2 linked regions of the Anolis sagrei genome follow. The protein of the gene in region 1 purifies or fractionates together with the protein of each later gene. This does not show direct contact. Links are inferred from orthologs where the notes say so. Each region holds a gene or a part of one and is shown in the gene's direction. Other genes may lie near its edges.

Region 1 (6,913 bases):
GTCCATACTGCCATATATTGCAGTTCAAAGCAGATAATGTGGGGTTTATTCAGCTATGTGGAAGGGGCCCCAGTGGGGAGAAAAAATTTTCTCTGGGCTTATATTCTTCTCTTATTTTTTATTTTTTATTTAAATAGACATACATGTGTGTTTCTTGCGTACAGTGCAATGCTTTCCAGTTATTAGTATTCCAAAATCATTTCTCAGATGATATATTTTCTTTAAGGGGTCATAGTCTTCTATTTAAATAGTACATATGAATATCATAGGCTTTCATTTAATATCTGCTTCCTCCTTGTCTACAGTCTTATATACATTTTTCGTTTGATTTTACATTAAGATGTTGAAGCATTGGTTGCCAATCATTAACATTGTTTTCTAATAGTTCTCTTCTTAATGGTACAGTTATTTTATCCATTACTTCTTACTTAGGTGATCCCTCATTGTCCGAGTAGGATAATCTTCCAAGGTGGGTCTGTAGGTGACTGTGGAGCCCTATTCTTGATCTGCAAAATCTCCCGCAGTGAGGGCATTGGTTTCCAGGTGGAAGGCAGTCCCAATTGGGGTTGGCTTGATGCGCCTTCCTCTTGGCACGTTTCTCTCTTTCGCCCTCCATTCGTGCCTCTTCAAATTCTGCAGCACTGCTGGTCACATCTGACCTCCAGCTGGAGTGCTCCCAGGCCAGGGCTTCCCAGTTCTCAGTGTCTATGCCAGAGTTTTTAAGGTTGGCTTTGAGCCCATCTTTAAATCTCTTTTCCTGCCCACCAACTTTCCATTTTCCGTTCTTGAGTTTGGAGTAGAGCAACTGCTTTGGGAGACGGTGGTCAGGCATCCGGACAACGTGGCCAGTCCAGCAGAATTGATGGAGGACCATTGCTTCAGTGCTGGTGGTCTTTGCTTCTTCCAGCATGCTGACATTTGTCCGCTTGTCTTCCCAAGAGATTTCCAGGATTTTTTGGAGGTAGCACTGATGGAATCATTCCAGAAGTTGCGTGTGACATCTGTAGACAGTCCATGTTTCGCAGGCATATAGCAGGGTTGGGAGTACAATAGCTTTATAAACAATCACCTTGATATCCCTATGGATGTCCCCGTCCTCAAACACTCTCTGCTTCATTCGGAAAAATGCTGCACTCGCAGAGCTCAGGCACTGTTGTATTTCGGTGTCAATGTTGACTTTGGTGGAGAGGTGGCTGCCAAGGGTTTATCCATTATCAGCAAATCTGTAATGTATTTTTCCCATTCTTCTAAGGGAGGTATCTCTGAGGTTTTCCTGTATCTGGCCTATACTATTCGAGCTGCGACTGTCATGTAGAACAATTTTTCCCCTAAATGTTCTTTCTAGTTCTCCATCAAGCATGTTCAAAAGGTACATTTGTGGTGTCATTTTGGAATTTGTGTTTAACATCTTTTCGAGATATGCACAAATCTGTTTTCAATAGTTGTTTACTTTGTTACATGTCCACCACGTGTGGTAAAATGGGCCTCTTTCTTTCTCATATTTCCAACATTTGTCAGTGCAATTATACATCTTGCCTAGTCTCTTTGGAGGGAGATACCATCATAGGTGCATTCTTCTCTTTTTAAATGAGCTAAAGTGGGTGATGAATCTATTTTGGTAGTCAAGGTTCAGCACCCTGGAAAGCTCCCTAATAGAGTGTGCCTACACCAGGCATGGACAAACTTTAGACCTCTAGGTCAGGGGTTCTCAACCTTCCTCATGCTGTGACCCCTTAATACAATTCCTCATGTTGTGGTGGCACCCCAACCATAAAATTATTTTCCTTCCTACTTCATAACTGTCATTTTGCTACTGTTATCAATTGTAATGTAAATATCTGATCGACAGGATGTATTTTCATTCACTAGACCAAATTTGGCACAAATACCCAATATGCCCAAATGTGAACACTGGTGGAGTTTGGGGAAAATAGTCCTTGACATTTTGGGAGTTGTAGTTCACCTACAATCAAAGAGCATTCTGAACCCCACCAACGAGAGAACTGGGCCAAACTTCCCACATAGAACCCCCATGACCAACAGAAAATACTGTGTTTTCTGGTGATCTTAAGTGACCCCTCTGACATTCCCTCATGACCCCTCCAGGGGTCCCGACATATAATCCAGTTCAAAGCAGATAATGCGGATTATCTGCTTAGAAGATCTGGATTATATGGCAGTGTAGAAGGGGCCTAAGGCTGGATTTACACAGCCATACAAGATCCAGATTATCTGCATTGAACTGGATTATCTGGCAGTATAGACTCATATAATCCAGTTCTAAGCAGATAATGGTTAGATGATCTGGATTATATGGCAGTGTAGAAGGGGCCTGATTGATATGGTCGGTTTTCCAAGGTGTCCTTGTTGTTCATTCGTTCAGTCGTCTCCGACTCTTCGTGACCTCATGGACCAGCCCACGCCAGAGCTCCCTGTCGGCCGTCACCACCCCCAGCTCCTTCAAGGTCAGTCCAGTCACTTCAAGGATGCCATCCATCCATCTTGTCCTTGGTCGGCCCCTCTTCCTTTTGCCTTCCACTTTCCCTAGCATCATTGTCTTCTCCAGGCTTTGCTGTCTCCTCATGATGTGGTCAAAGTACTTCAACTTTGTCTCTAGTATCCTTCCCTCCAGTGAGCAGCCGGGCTTTATTTCCTGAAGTGTGGACTGGTTGGATCTTCTCGCAGTCCAAGGCACTCTCAGGACTTTCCTCCAACAGCACAGCTCAAAAGCATCTATCTTCCTTCGCTCAGCCTTCCCTAAGGTCCAGCTCTCACATCCCTAGGTGACTACAGGGAATACCATGGCTTTGACGAGGCGGATCTTTGTTGCAAGTCTGATGTCTCTACTCTTTACTATTTTATCGAGACTGGACATTGCTCTCCTCCCAAGAAGTAAGCGTCTTCTGATTTCCTGGCCACAGTCTGCATCTGCAGTAATCTTTGTGCCTAGAAATACAAAGTCTGTCACGGCCTCCACGTTTTCTCCCTCTATTTCCCAGTTGTCAATCATTCTTGTTGCCATAATCTTGGTTATTTTGATGTTTAGCTGCAACCCGGCTTTTGCGCTTTCTTCTTTCACCTTGATTAGAAGGTTCCTCAGCTCCTCCTCGCTTTCGGCCATCAGAGTGGTGTCATCTGCATATCTGAGGTTGTTAATGTTTCTTCCAGCAATTTTCACCCCAGCTTTGCATTCCTCAAGCCCCACACACCTCATGATGTGTTCTGCATACAAGTTAAAAAGGTTGGGTGAGAGGATGCAGCCTTGCCGTACGCCTTTCCCAATCTTGAACCAGTCTGTTGTTCCGTGGTCAGTTCTGACTGTTGCTACTTGGTCCTTGTACAGATTCCTCAGGAGAGAGACAAGGTGGCTTGGTATGCCCATCCCACCAAGAACTTGTCACAATTTATTATGATCCACACAGTCAAAGGCTGTGTCAGTGTAGAAGGGGCCTAAGGCTGGATTTACACAGCCATACAAGATTCAGATTATCTGCATTGAACTGGATTATCTGGCAGTATAGACTCATATAATCCAGTTCTAAGCAGATAATGGTTAGATGATCTGGATTATATGGGAGTGTAGAAGGGGCCTGATTGATATGTTCGGTTTTCCAAGGTGTCCTTAGCCACTTGAGAATATGGAGGACCAACTGTGGAACCAGCACGACTCTTTTCCTTCCCGCGCAGGCGCACTAGCCCTGCCGTAGCCTTCGCCCCGCCTTCTGCCGAGCAGACACCGGGGGGCCAATCAGGAGGCCGGTGGGCGTGGCCTCCCCGGGGCTGTACACAGCCACCACGTGGAGCATGCCAGTGGCCCCCGAGACAGCGGCGGAGGCGGACGTGTTGGCGGAGCCAGAGCGCGGGAAACGCCGCTGCAGGGAGCCATGCCGCCTCTTCTCCCTTCCCGTGGGGATCCTAAGTGAAATAACACCCAAACACCCCACTTCACGTTGCCTTCATTGCAAGGCCAAGCCGGTGCTGTTGTTGCGGCTGCAGGAAGGGCGCGCTGCCTCTCTCTCCTCCCTTCCTCCCTCCGGCTGGCCTTTCCCCGAAGCCCTGCTGCAGAGGACTGCGGATCGGAGCCGGGATGGAAGCATGGCACCGGAACCGGCGTCGCCAAAGCGGCAGGGTAAGAGAGCAGCCCCTCATCCGGGGATCCTCCTCTTGCGGGGCTTCCTGAGCGCCTCCCCCCCCCCCCCCCCCCAGTGCTTTGCCTCTTCTGTGTTTGGGACTTCAATTCCCAGTAACCTGAAGGTTGGAAAGGCCTGTGTATAAGGAATCTGTGGAGGAGATAGTTGTAGTATTCCCTGCTTCAGAGATGGATGATCATAATGCATGGCATTCCTTTGGCTCTCTTTACAGACTGAGAAAATGCAGGCAATAGCAAGGCCTATTGAAATGAATGGCTCCTGGCCTGAGAATGCCATAGAGATATGCTGAAGGCCTAAAGAAGGACATGGTTTGTCTGATGTGGGCACTGTATGATACTGGCCCACAACATAAGCCCCTTCTACACTGCCATATAATCCAGATTATTATTATTATTTTGTCGTTGAGAAACTGCAAGTCGCTTCTGGTGTGAGAGAATTGGCCATCTGCAAGTACGTTGCCCAGGGGATGCCTGGATGATTTGATGTTTTTACTATCCTTCTGGGAGGCTTCTCTCATGTCCCGCATGAGGAGCTGGAGCTCATAGAGATGAGCAAGGCAGATCGATTTATTTTTTTTTGTCGTTGAGAAACTGCAAGTCGCTTCTGCTGTGAGAGAATTGGCCACCTGCAAGGACGTTGCCCTGAATGTTTTGATGTTTTTACCATCCTTGTGGGAGGCTTCTCTCATGTCCCCACATGGGGAGCTGGAGCTGACAGAGGGAGCTCAGATGAGCAAAGCAGATCGATTTATTTTTTTGTCGTTGAGAAACTGCAAGTCGCTTCTGGAACAGGATTATATGAGTCTACACTGCCTGATAATCCAGTTCAAAGCAAATAATCTGGATTTTGTATGGCAGTGTAGAAAGGGCCTTAGGGAGGAGCAATCCCTTTGCAAGGTAAGCATCCCAAGGCTGCCATCTTGGTCTGTTTCAGAATAAAAACACCTAAGGCAGCCCTGTAGTGTCTTGGAAACTGACCGAGAGAAAGCCATTTTTAGCATCAGCTTTATTGAACTTCATTGCTGGCTCTGATGAAACGGATTAAACATTTCTTTGCGCCAGTTACTCTCCAAGTATTTCCTTGCAAGGATAGTCAGTCTTTGTGCCTTTCTGCCACATGAGCAATCTCTGGCCTCCCAGAGGTCTGTGCTAAGTAAAGGTTTTCCCCTGACATTAAGTCCAGTTGTTTCCAACTCTGGGGAGTTGGAAATGACTGGAGGGGTTGGTGCTCAACTCCATTTCTAAGCCGAAGAGCCGGCGTTGTCCATAGACACCTCCAAGGTCATGTGGCCAGCATGACTGCATGCAGCATCGTTACCTTCCCGCTGGAGCGGTACCTATTGATCTCCTCACATTTGCATGTTTTCGAACTGCTAGGTTGGCAGAAGCTGGGCTAACAGCAGGAGCCCACCCCCGCTCCCGGATTCAAACCTGCGACCTTTCGCTCAGCGCTTTGACCCACTGTGCCACTGGGGGCTCCCAGTGATAGATAGATAGATAGATAGATAGATAGATAGATAGATATGTCAACACATTGCACTGCACAACTGCTTTGAGTCCCCCCAGGGGAGAGAAGGGGGGTATATAAATACTGTAAATAAATAAATAATACATAAACAATGCAATGTATTGACATATGTATATAGTGGCCCTTAAGACACCTCTGTTGCTGTACATTGAAGGAACCTTTGGCCTTTTGTGTTTTCTGTCTCTTTAAGCCTTGACAGTGATCTGGGGCCTTCAAGACATAAGCCCTGTTTACCTTTCCATCCATCATGAAACACCAGGCGGATCACGCATCTCTAAGCCCATGGTACCAAAATCCATAGCTGCTCAAGTTATGTAGTATACAACGCTAGTCAAATGGTGTCCCTTATGTAATATGGCAACATCACAGCTTGCTTTTAGGGGGATTTATTTGGAATCTTTTCAAGTCATGCTTGGTTGACTCCAACCAACAATAGAGGGATCTAGTCCCCGATTCACTGTCAAGAGGGAAGTGGAATTAAAGGGAACGAATGTTGGGCAGTCCCTGGTAGCGCAGCGGGTTAAACTGCTTAGCTGCTGAACTGGCTGACTGGAAGGTCAGTGGTTTGAATCTAGGGAGCGGGGTAAGCTCCTGTTGTTAGTCCCAGCTTCTGCCAACCTAGCAGTTCGAAAGCATGCAAATGTGAGTAGATCAATAGGTACCGTTTCAGCGGGAAGGTAACTGCACTCCATGCAGTCATACCGGCGACATGACCTTGGAGGCGTCTATGGACAACGCCGGCTCTTTGGCTTAGAAATGAAGATGAGCACCACCGCACAGAGTGGGACACCACTAGACCTAATGTCAGGGGAAAACCTTTACCTTTACTTCAGCATTGGGCAGAGTTAAAGTGTTGAGATACAACTGGACAGATACACGGTGTTATGAAGCCCATAAGGTGACCTTGGGCCAGTCGCTGTCGGTCAGCCTGTTTACTCAGAGAAAGCCCTTGTCTCATGTCTCAGAGAACCACAAATCAAAAATAAATATGCCCACAGCTCCAAAATCCCTTGCTGTGCCCATATCCCCAACCTATATTCTAATTCTGATGTAGGGGGAAAGGAGGTGAATCGGGAGAGGGGTGGCTTTGAATATGATAGATGCATATAATAAACATGCAGTTCCAGTTTGCTACAAGTGACTTGGCCTTGTGTGCCCCCTATTGATAGAGCCAGGGACTCCAATGCTTAAATGCATCTCCAACAGTAGGGTCATTTGTGTGAGACCACTGGCTC
Region 2 (7,296 bases), on another chromosome or scaffold:
GACCAAAGTTGTCACATATACTCAATATGCCCAAATGTGAACACCAGTGGAGTCTGGGGGAAAAGACCCTGACATTTGGGAGTTGTAGTTGCTGGGATTTATAGTTCACCTATAGTTCACCTATAATCAAAGAGCATTCTGAATTCCACCAAAGATAGAATTCAACCAAACTTGGCACACTGAACTTCCATGACCAAGAGAAAATACTGGAAGGGTTTGGTGGGCATTGACCTTGAGTTTTGGAGTTGTAGTTCACCTACATCCAGAGAGATCTGGACCAAACTTGGCACAAATACTCAATATGCTCAAATGTGAACACTGGTGGAGTTTGGGGAAACTAGACTTTGGCATTTGGGAGTTGTAGTTGCTGGGATTTATAGTTCACCTACAATCAAAAAGCATTCTGAACCCAGCCCACAATGGATCTGCACCAAACTTGGCACGCTACCTACATGGCCAACATTGAATACTGGTGGAGTTGGGGAGGGGGGCTGTTTTTGAATTCTGGGAGTTGTAGTTCACCAACACCAAAAAGGAAGAGGACGGGCAGAGAGATCTTCAGCCTCCTCTGCCAAAAATGTTCCTGAGACCATCAGAAATATGTGTTTTCTGATGGTATTTGACAACCCCTCTGAAACCCCCTTTGCGACCCCCCTTAGGGGTCCCGACCCCCAGGTTGAGAAACATTGTGCTATACATCTTTACCAGAGTAAACACTATGAATAATAACTTTCCATTTTAGTAGTGAATAAGGCCAGAGTTGGAGAAAGTTCCTTCTGGGGCCTAGAATTCTCAGAAATGTAGAGAATTCTGGGAGTTGTTGTCCAACCTCTGGAGTTGTTCAACCATTAAACCGGTTTGTGAAGTAACGAGGAAAACAGGAGTGGGTGGCAAATGATAATGGGCACAGTTGGGTTCAAAGCCAGAGAAAGCAGGACGGAGCTTGTGAGCTCCTTCATTCCCTTTCTCAGGAAGAAGGGAAAGGAGGGCCTGGCTGTGCCTGGAGCGATGTTGTCGCAATAGCATCATCCTTTCAGTCCCTTGGGAAACCTAAAGCCTGGATCCTATACATTTTCCGCCTTTCCACACTTTGATGTCTGAGTTTCATGTCTCAATTCAGACGTGGGATCATCAAATGTCAGAGCTGGAAGCAACAAGGACCAGGTTGTGGCACAGCTGGTTGGGAAGTCAACTGCATTAAAATCACTACTCATGACTTCAAAGCCAGCCCAGGCCAGAGTAAGCTCCCGACCATTTGTCTAGCTTGCTGTCGACCTTTGCTACCCGAAAGACAGTTGCATCTGTCATGTAGGAAATTTAGGTACCGCTTAGGCAGAGAGGCTAATTTAACTAATTTACAATGCCATAAAACTCTCCAGCAGTGTGCAAAAGAATGAGGAAGTACTCAATCAGTGCCACAAGTGGATGGTGAAGCGATAGCTCCTCCGGCGGCCGGAATTCGAAACATACCCTCATGAAGCTGGAAAGTTAAATAGCCTCTGTGTGTCTGTCTATATATATGTTGCGTGTCTATGGCATTGAATGTGTGACGGTGCGAGTGGCGCCACCTATGTATAGAACTGTTAGTTGTAAGATTTAAACTGTTGTATCATGCTTAATCCTGCCCCTTTTTTACCCTGCTTATGTATAGTTGTATGGATTGGTTGCTTGTAGCTGTCAATCAGTACTGTTTGGCTCCACCTCTTCCTGCAAGAGGGGAGAGCTTCCTTTTTCTTCTTCATTCTGCCATTAGAGTTTGTACCAGATGGACGTGAGTAAGAGACCTGACTCCAAAGGACCCTGATTTAAGTTACCTCTTAGCACCAGTTCTGAGGTTTTTACCCCTGGGACTCATGCTTTATGTCCAGATCATCCTGGATAACATTGAGGAGATCCCAAGCGCCTTCAAGCCAGTTCTTTTGGCACCAAAGGAAGATCCTGAATCTTCAAAACATAGGCCATCTGAACTGGGGTTGTGGTTTGCTCCCGCATTCACAGCCACTGAGGAAGGAGGAAACTGAGTGAGGCTTCTCAGCTTCAAACCCCTTGGACCCAGGACTAATTGAGACTGTAATGTATGTTTTCCTTCACCCCTCTAAAGTTTTCCAGCTCATTGCTTTGAAGAAATGACTTTGTGATCAATAAAACTTATCTTGAGCTATTTACAGTGTTTTGGGTTTTTGGGAGTTCCAGTTTCCTAAAGGAGGGCAAGAAGCAATCCCTTGGGGGAAAGGTGCGGCGTCCATCCCTCCTTCATTAAGAATAATAGCCCCCAAGCGCAAGGGCACAGAATGTTTGCCATGTAGATGTGCATTGTGATCTGCCCTGAGTCCTCTGCAGGGTGAGAAGGGAGGAATATATAAATACTGTAAAAAACAAACAAACAAGGGCCACCCTCTTCTGCCATGCAGTGTGATTTGGGAATGTCGGGCACCTCCTCTTTGGGCTTGGAGGCCTTGATCCCAGTTAGTATTTATTTATTTACTTTATTTACTTTAATTGTATATTGCACTCTCTCAGCCGGTAGGCGACTCAGTGTGGTTTACAACCAGGTCAATATACAAAGTGCACAACACTAGCATTTAAAAACAGCAACTAAGGCAACTACATCAATATAAGAGCACATCAATACATCAATATAACGTCAATACATTAGTATCCCTCCCAGTTCCTTTTCTTCTTCCTGGCTTGGAGAGCTTGGTCTCCTCTGGAGAGAGCGGCCTTGAGGAGGGGCACCTCGTTTGCACACAGCCTGCCAAGCCTCCTTTTTGGGTACCCCTTCTTCGGGCTTGGAGGCGCAGACCCAGAATAGTATCCCCACCCCCCGCTCCTCCTCTTCTTCCTGGCTTGGAGAGCCTTCCCTTCCCCAGAAAGAGCTGCGTTGGAGAGGGAGAGTTCTTTTGCAAAAGTGTGCCAAGCTTTACGCACGGCGCGCCTCCTTTTTGGGCACCCCTTCTTCGGGCTTGGGGGCGTTGATCCCGATTACTACCCCACCCAGTTCCTCCCCTTCCTCCTCTCTTCCTGGTTTAGAGACCTTTCTTTTCCTTGGAGAGGGAGAGTTCTTTTGCAAAACGCATGCCAAGCTCGACGCACGGCGCGCCTCCTTTTTGGGCACCTCCTCTTTGGGCTAGGAAGCCTTGATCCCGACTGCTATCCCTCCCAGTTCCTCCTCTTCCTACACTCTTCCTCCTCCTCTTCCTGGCTTGGAGACCCTTCCCTTTCCCCGGAAAGAGCTGCGTTGGAGAGGGACACCTCTTTTCCAAAAGTGTGCCAAGCTTTACGCACGGCGCGCCTCCTTTTTGGGCACCCCCTCTTTGGGCTTGGGGGCGCAGATCCCGATTGTTACCCCTCCCAGTTCCTTTTCCTCTTCCTCCTCTCTTCCTCCTCCTCTTCCTGGCTTGGAGAGCCTTCCTTTTCCTGGAGAGAGCGACGTTCAAAAAAGGAGAGCTCTTTTGCAAAAAGCGTGCCAAGCTTTACGCACGGCGCGCCTCCTTTTGGGCACCTCTTCTTTGGCTTTGTGGGGACGTTGATCCCGACTGCTACCCCCCCCCCCCCTTCCTCCAGTTCCTCCTCTCTTCCTCCTCCTCTTCCTGGCTTGGAGACCCTTCCCTTCCCCGGAAAGAGCAGCCTTGAAGAGGAGCAGCTTTTGCAAAAAGCGTGCCAAACTTTACGCACGGCGCGCCTCCTTTTTGGGCACCTCCTCTTTGGGCTTGGAAGCCTTGATCCCGATTGCTATTCCTCCCAGTTCCTCCTCTTCCTACACTCTTCCTCCTCTCTTCCTGGCTTGGAGACCCTTCCCTTCCCCAGAAAGAGCTGCGTTGGAGAGGGACACCTCTTTTCCAAAAGTGTGCCAAGCTTTACGCACGGCGCGCCTCCTTTTTGGGCCCCCCCTCTTCGGGCTTGGAGGCGTAGATCCCGATTGCTATCCCTCCCAGTTCCTCCTCCTCTTCCTCCTCTCTTCTTCCTCCTCCTCTTCTTGGCTTGGAGAGCTTTGTCTTCTCTGGAGAGAGCGGCGTTGAGGAGGGAGGGACAGCTCTTTGGCTAACAGCCGGCCAAGCTTTACGCACCAAGCTTGACGCACGGCTCGCCTCCTTGTGGGCCCCTCCTCTTCGGCCTTGGGGGGCGTAGATCCCGATTGCTATCCCTCCCCGTTCCTCCTCCTCTTCCTCCTCTCTTCCTCCTCCTCTTCCTGGCTTGGAGAGCCTTCCCTTCCCCGGAAAGAGCGGCGTTGGAGAGGGAGAGCTCGTTTGCAAAACTGTGCCCAGCTTGACGCACGGCGCGCCTCCTTGTGGGCAGCTCCTCTTCGGCCTTGGGGGGCGTAGATTCCGATTGCGACCCCTCGCAGCTCCTCCTCCTTGTCCTCCTGCTCTTCCTCCCCCTTTTCCTGGCTTGGCGAACCTTTCCTTCCTTCTTTCCCCGGGTTCTCTCTCCGCTTGGTCAGCAGCATCATCCATGGCGCAGGAGGAGGAAGGCGCAGGCGGGGAGAGCGGCGGGGGCGGGGGCGGGGGTCTCCTGCTGGAGCTGGTGAGCTCCCCGCTGAACCTGAGCCTGCTGGGCCTGTGCCTCTTCCTGCTCTACCAGATCCTGCGCGGGGACCGGGGCCGGGCCCAGCCCGAGGGCGAGGAGGACGCGCCCCCGCCCCTGCCCAAGCTCCGCCGCCGGGACTTCACCCTGGCCGAGCTGCGCCCCTTCGACGGCGTCCAGAACCCCCGCATCCTCATGGCCATCAACGGGAAGGTCTTCGACGTCTCCCGCGGGAGGAAGTTCTACGGGCCCGGTGAGAAAGAGAGGAGGGAGAGGAGGGAGAGGGGCTTGGGTTGGGGAAGGGGGCCTGCGCCTTCCCCCCTGCCCACATCCCGTTCCAAACATGGGCTTCAGGCAAGGACGGAGGGAGTGCCATGGGCAGGCTCGGGTCTTGGGGTTTGGGAGGCTGGGCCCTCCCCAGGTCACCCACAAGACCAGTCCTGTAGGTTTGCCCTGAAGTTGGGTTTGTATGGAAGTCGGAACTGGGGCATTTCCAACCATATATCTACTTGTAACTTGGGGACTGTCTCTCTCTGTGTGTGTGTGTGTGTGTGTGTGTTTGTGACACAGATCCAGTTCCAAACATGGGTTTCAGGCAAGGACAGAGGGAGGGTCATGTGCAGGCTCAGGTTTTGGGGTTTGGTAGGCAGGGCCCTCCCCAGGTCACCCACAAGACCAGTCCTGTAGGTTTGCCCTGAAGCTGGGCTTGTATGGAAGTCGGAACTGGGGCATTTCCAACCATATATCTACTTGTAACTTGGGGACTGTCTCTGTGTGTATGTGTGTTTGTGGCACAGATCCAGTTGCAAACATGGGTTTCAGGCAAGGACAGAGGGATCCCCAAGTCACCACCAAGATCAGCCCTGAAGGTTTTGCCCTGAAGTTGGGTGGGTATGGAAGTCCGAACTGGGAAATTTCCAGCCATATCTATACTTGTCTTGGGATTTGATAGCCAGGGCTCTCCCCAAATTCAAACAAGACTAGTCCTGTAGGTTTGCCCTGAAGCTGGGTTTGTATGGAAGTCGGAACAGGGGCATTTCCAGCCATATATACACTTGTAACCGGGGCGGAGGGGGGGGGGCTATGGGCCTGGGTTGGGGAATTGGATCTGCGCCTTCTTCCCTGCCCACATCCATTTGGAAACATGGGTTTCAGGCAAGGACACAGGGAGTGCCAAGATACGAACAAGACCAGTCAGGTAGGTATGCCCTGAAGTTGGGTTTGTATGGAAGTCGGAACTGGGGCATTTCCAGCCATATCTATACTTGTCTTGGGATTTGATAGGCAGGGCCCTCCCCAAATTCAAACAAGACTAGTCCTGTAGGTTTGCCCTGAAGCTGGGTTTGTATGGAAGTCGGAACTGGGGCATTAGACAAGTATATACATGGTTGGAAATGCCCCAGTCCTTACTTCCATACAAACCCAACTTGTCTAGGGATTTGGTAGGCAGGCCATCCCCAAGTCACCACCAAGATCAGTCCTGTAGGTCTGCCCAAAAGTTGGGTTTGTATGGAAGTCCGAACTGGGGCATATCCAGCCATATATATACTTGTCTTGGGATTTGGTAGGCAGGGCTGTCCCCAAGATACGAACAAGATCAGTCCTGTAGGTCTGCCCAGAAGTTAGGTTTGTATGGAAGTCCGAACCGGGGCATTTCCAGCCATATATATACTTTTCTTGGGATTTGGTAGGCAGGACCCTCTCCAAATTACGAACAAGATAGGTTTGCCCTGAAGCTGGGTTTGTATAAAAGTCAGAACAGGGGCATTTCCAGCCATGTATACACTTGTAATCTGTGTGTGTGTGTGGGAAGAGGGGCCTGGGTTGGGAAAGGAGACCTACGCCTTCTTTCCTGCACAGATCCAGTTGCAAACATGGGTTTCAGGCAAGGACAGAGGGAGTGTCATGGGCAAGCTTGGGTCTTGGGATTTGGTAGGCAGGGCTGTCCCTGAGTTACGAACAAGACCAATCCTGTAGGTTTGCCTTGAAGCTGGGTTTGTATGGAAGTCCGAACTGGGGCATTTCCAACCATATATCTACTTGTAACTTGGGGACTGTCTCTGTGTGTGTGTGCGGCACAGATCCATTTGCAAACATGGGTTTCAGGCAAGGACAGAGGGAGTGCCATGGGCAAGCTCGGGTCTTGGGGTTTGGTAGGCAGGGCCATCCCCAAGTCACCACCAAGATCAGCCCTGAAGGTTTTGCCCTGAAGTTGGGTGGGTATGGAAGTCGGAACTGGGGCATTTCCAGCCATATCTATACTTCTCTTGGGATTTGGTAGGCAGGGCCCTCCCCAAATTCAAACAAGACTAGTCCTGTAGGTTTGCCCTGAAGCTGGGTTTGTATGGAAGTCGGAACTGGGGCATTAGACAAGTATATACATGGCTGGAAATGCCCCAGTCCTGACTTCCATACAAACCCAACTTGTCTTGGGATTTGGTAGGCAGGCCATCTCCAAGTCACCACCAAGATCAGTCCTGTAGGTCTGCCCAGAAGTTAGGTTTGTATGGAAGTCCGAAGTGGGGCATTTCCAGCCATATATATACTTGTCTTGGGATTTGGTAGGCAGGAACCTCTCCAAATTACGAACAAGATAGGTTTGCCCTGAAGCTGGGTTTGTATGAAAGTCGGAACAGGGGCATTTCCAGCCACATATATCTACTTAGACAAGTATATATATATATGGCTGGAAATGCCCCGGTTCCGACTTCCATACAAACCCAACTTGTCTTGGGATTTGGTAGGCAGGCCATCTCCAAGTCACCACCAAGA

The links. Proteins that work in one complex are often made in the same cells at the same time.
Region 2: the proteins of DUSP9 (region 1) and PGRMC1 purify together in Homo sapiens (affinity purification with mass spectrometry; 3 studies listed by BioGRID). This does not show direct contact. The link is inferred for Anolis sagrei from reciprocal best matches to the Homo sapiens genes DUSP9 and PGRMC1.

What each region holds. Positions count from the first base shown.
Region 1 is NC_090022.1:177,537,200-177,544,112, forward strand, and holds the start of DUSP9 (dual specificity protein phosphatase 9), read left to right. Parts: upstream 1-3,822; 5' UTR 3,823-4,129; intron 4,130-6,913. UniProt on the Homo sapiens protein: Inactivates MAP kinases. Has a specificity for the ERK family.
Region 2 is NC_090030.1:2,913,356-2,920,651, forward strand, and holds the start of PGRMC1 (membrane-associated progesterone receptor component 1), read left to right. Parts: upstream 1-4,214; 5' UTR 4,215-4,452; coding exon 4,453-4,777; intron 4,778-7,296. UniProt on the Homo sapiens protein: Component of a progesterone-binding protein complex. Binds progesterone. Has many reported cellular functions (heme homeostasis, interaction with CYPs). Required for the maintenance of uterine histoarchitecture and normal female reproductive lifespan.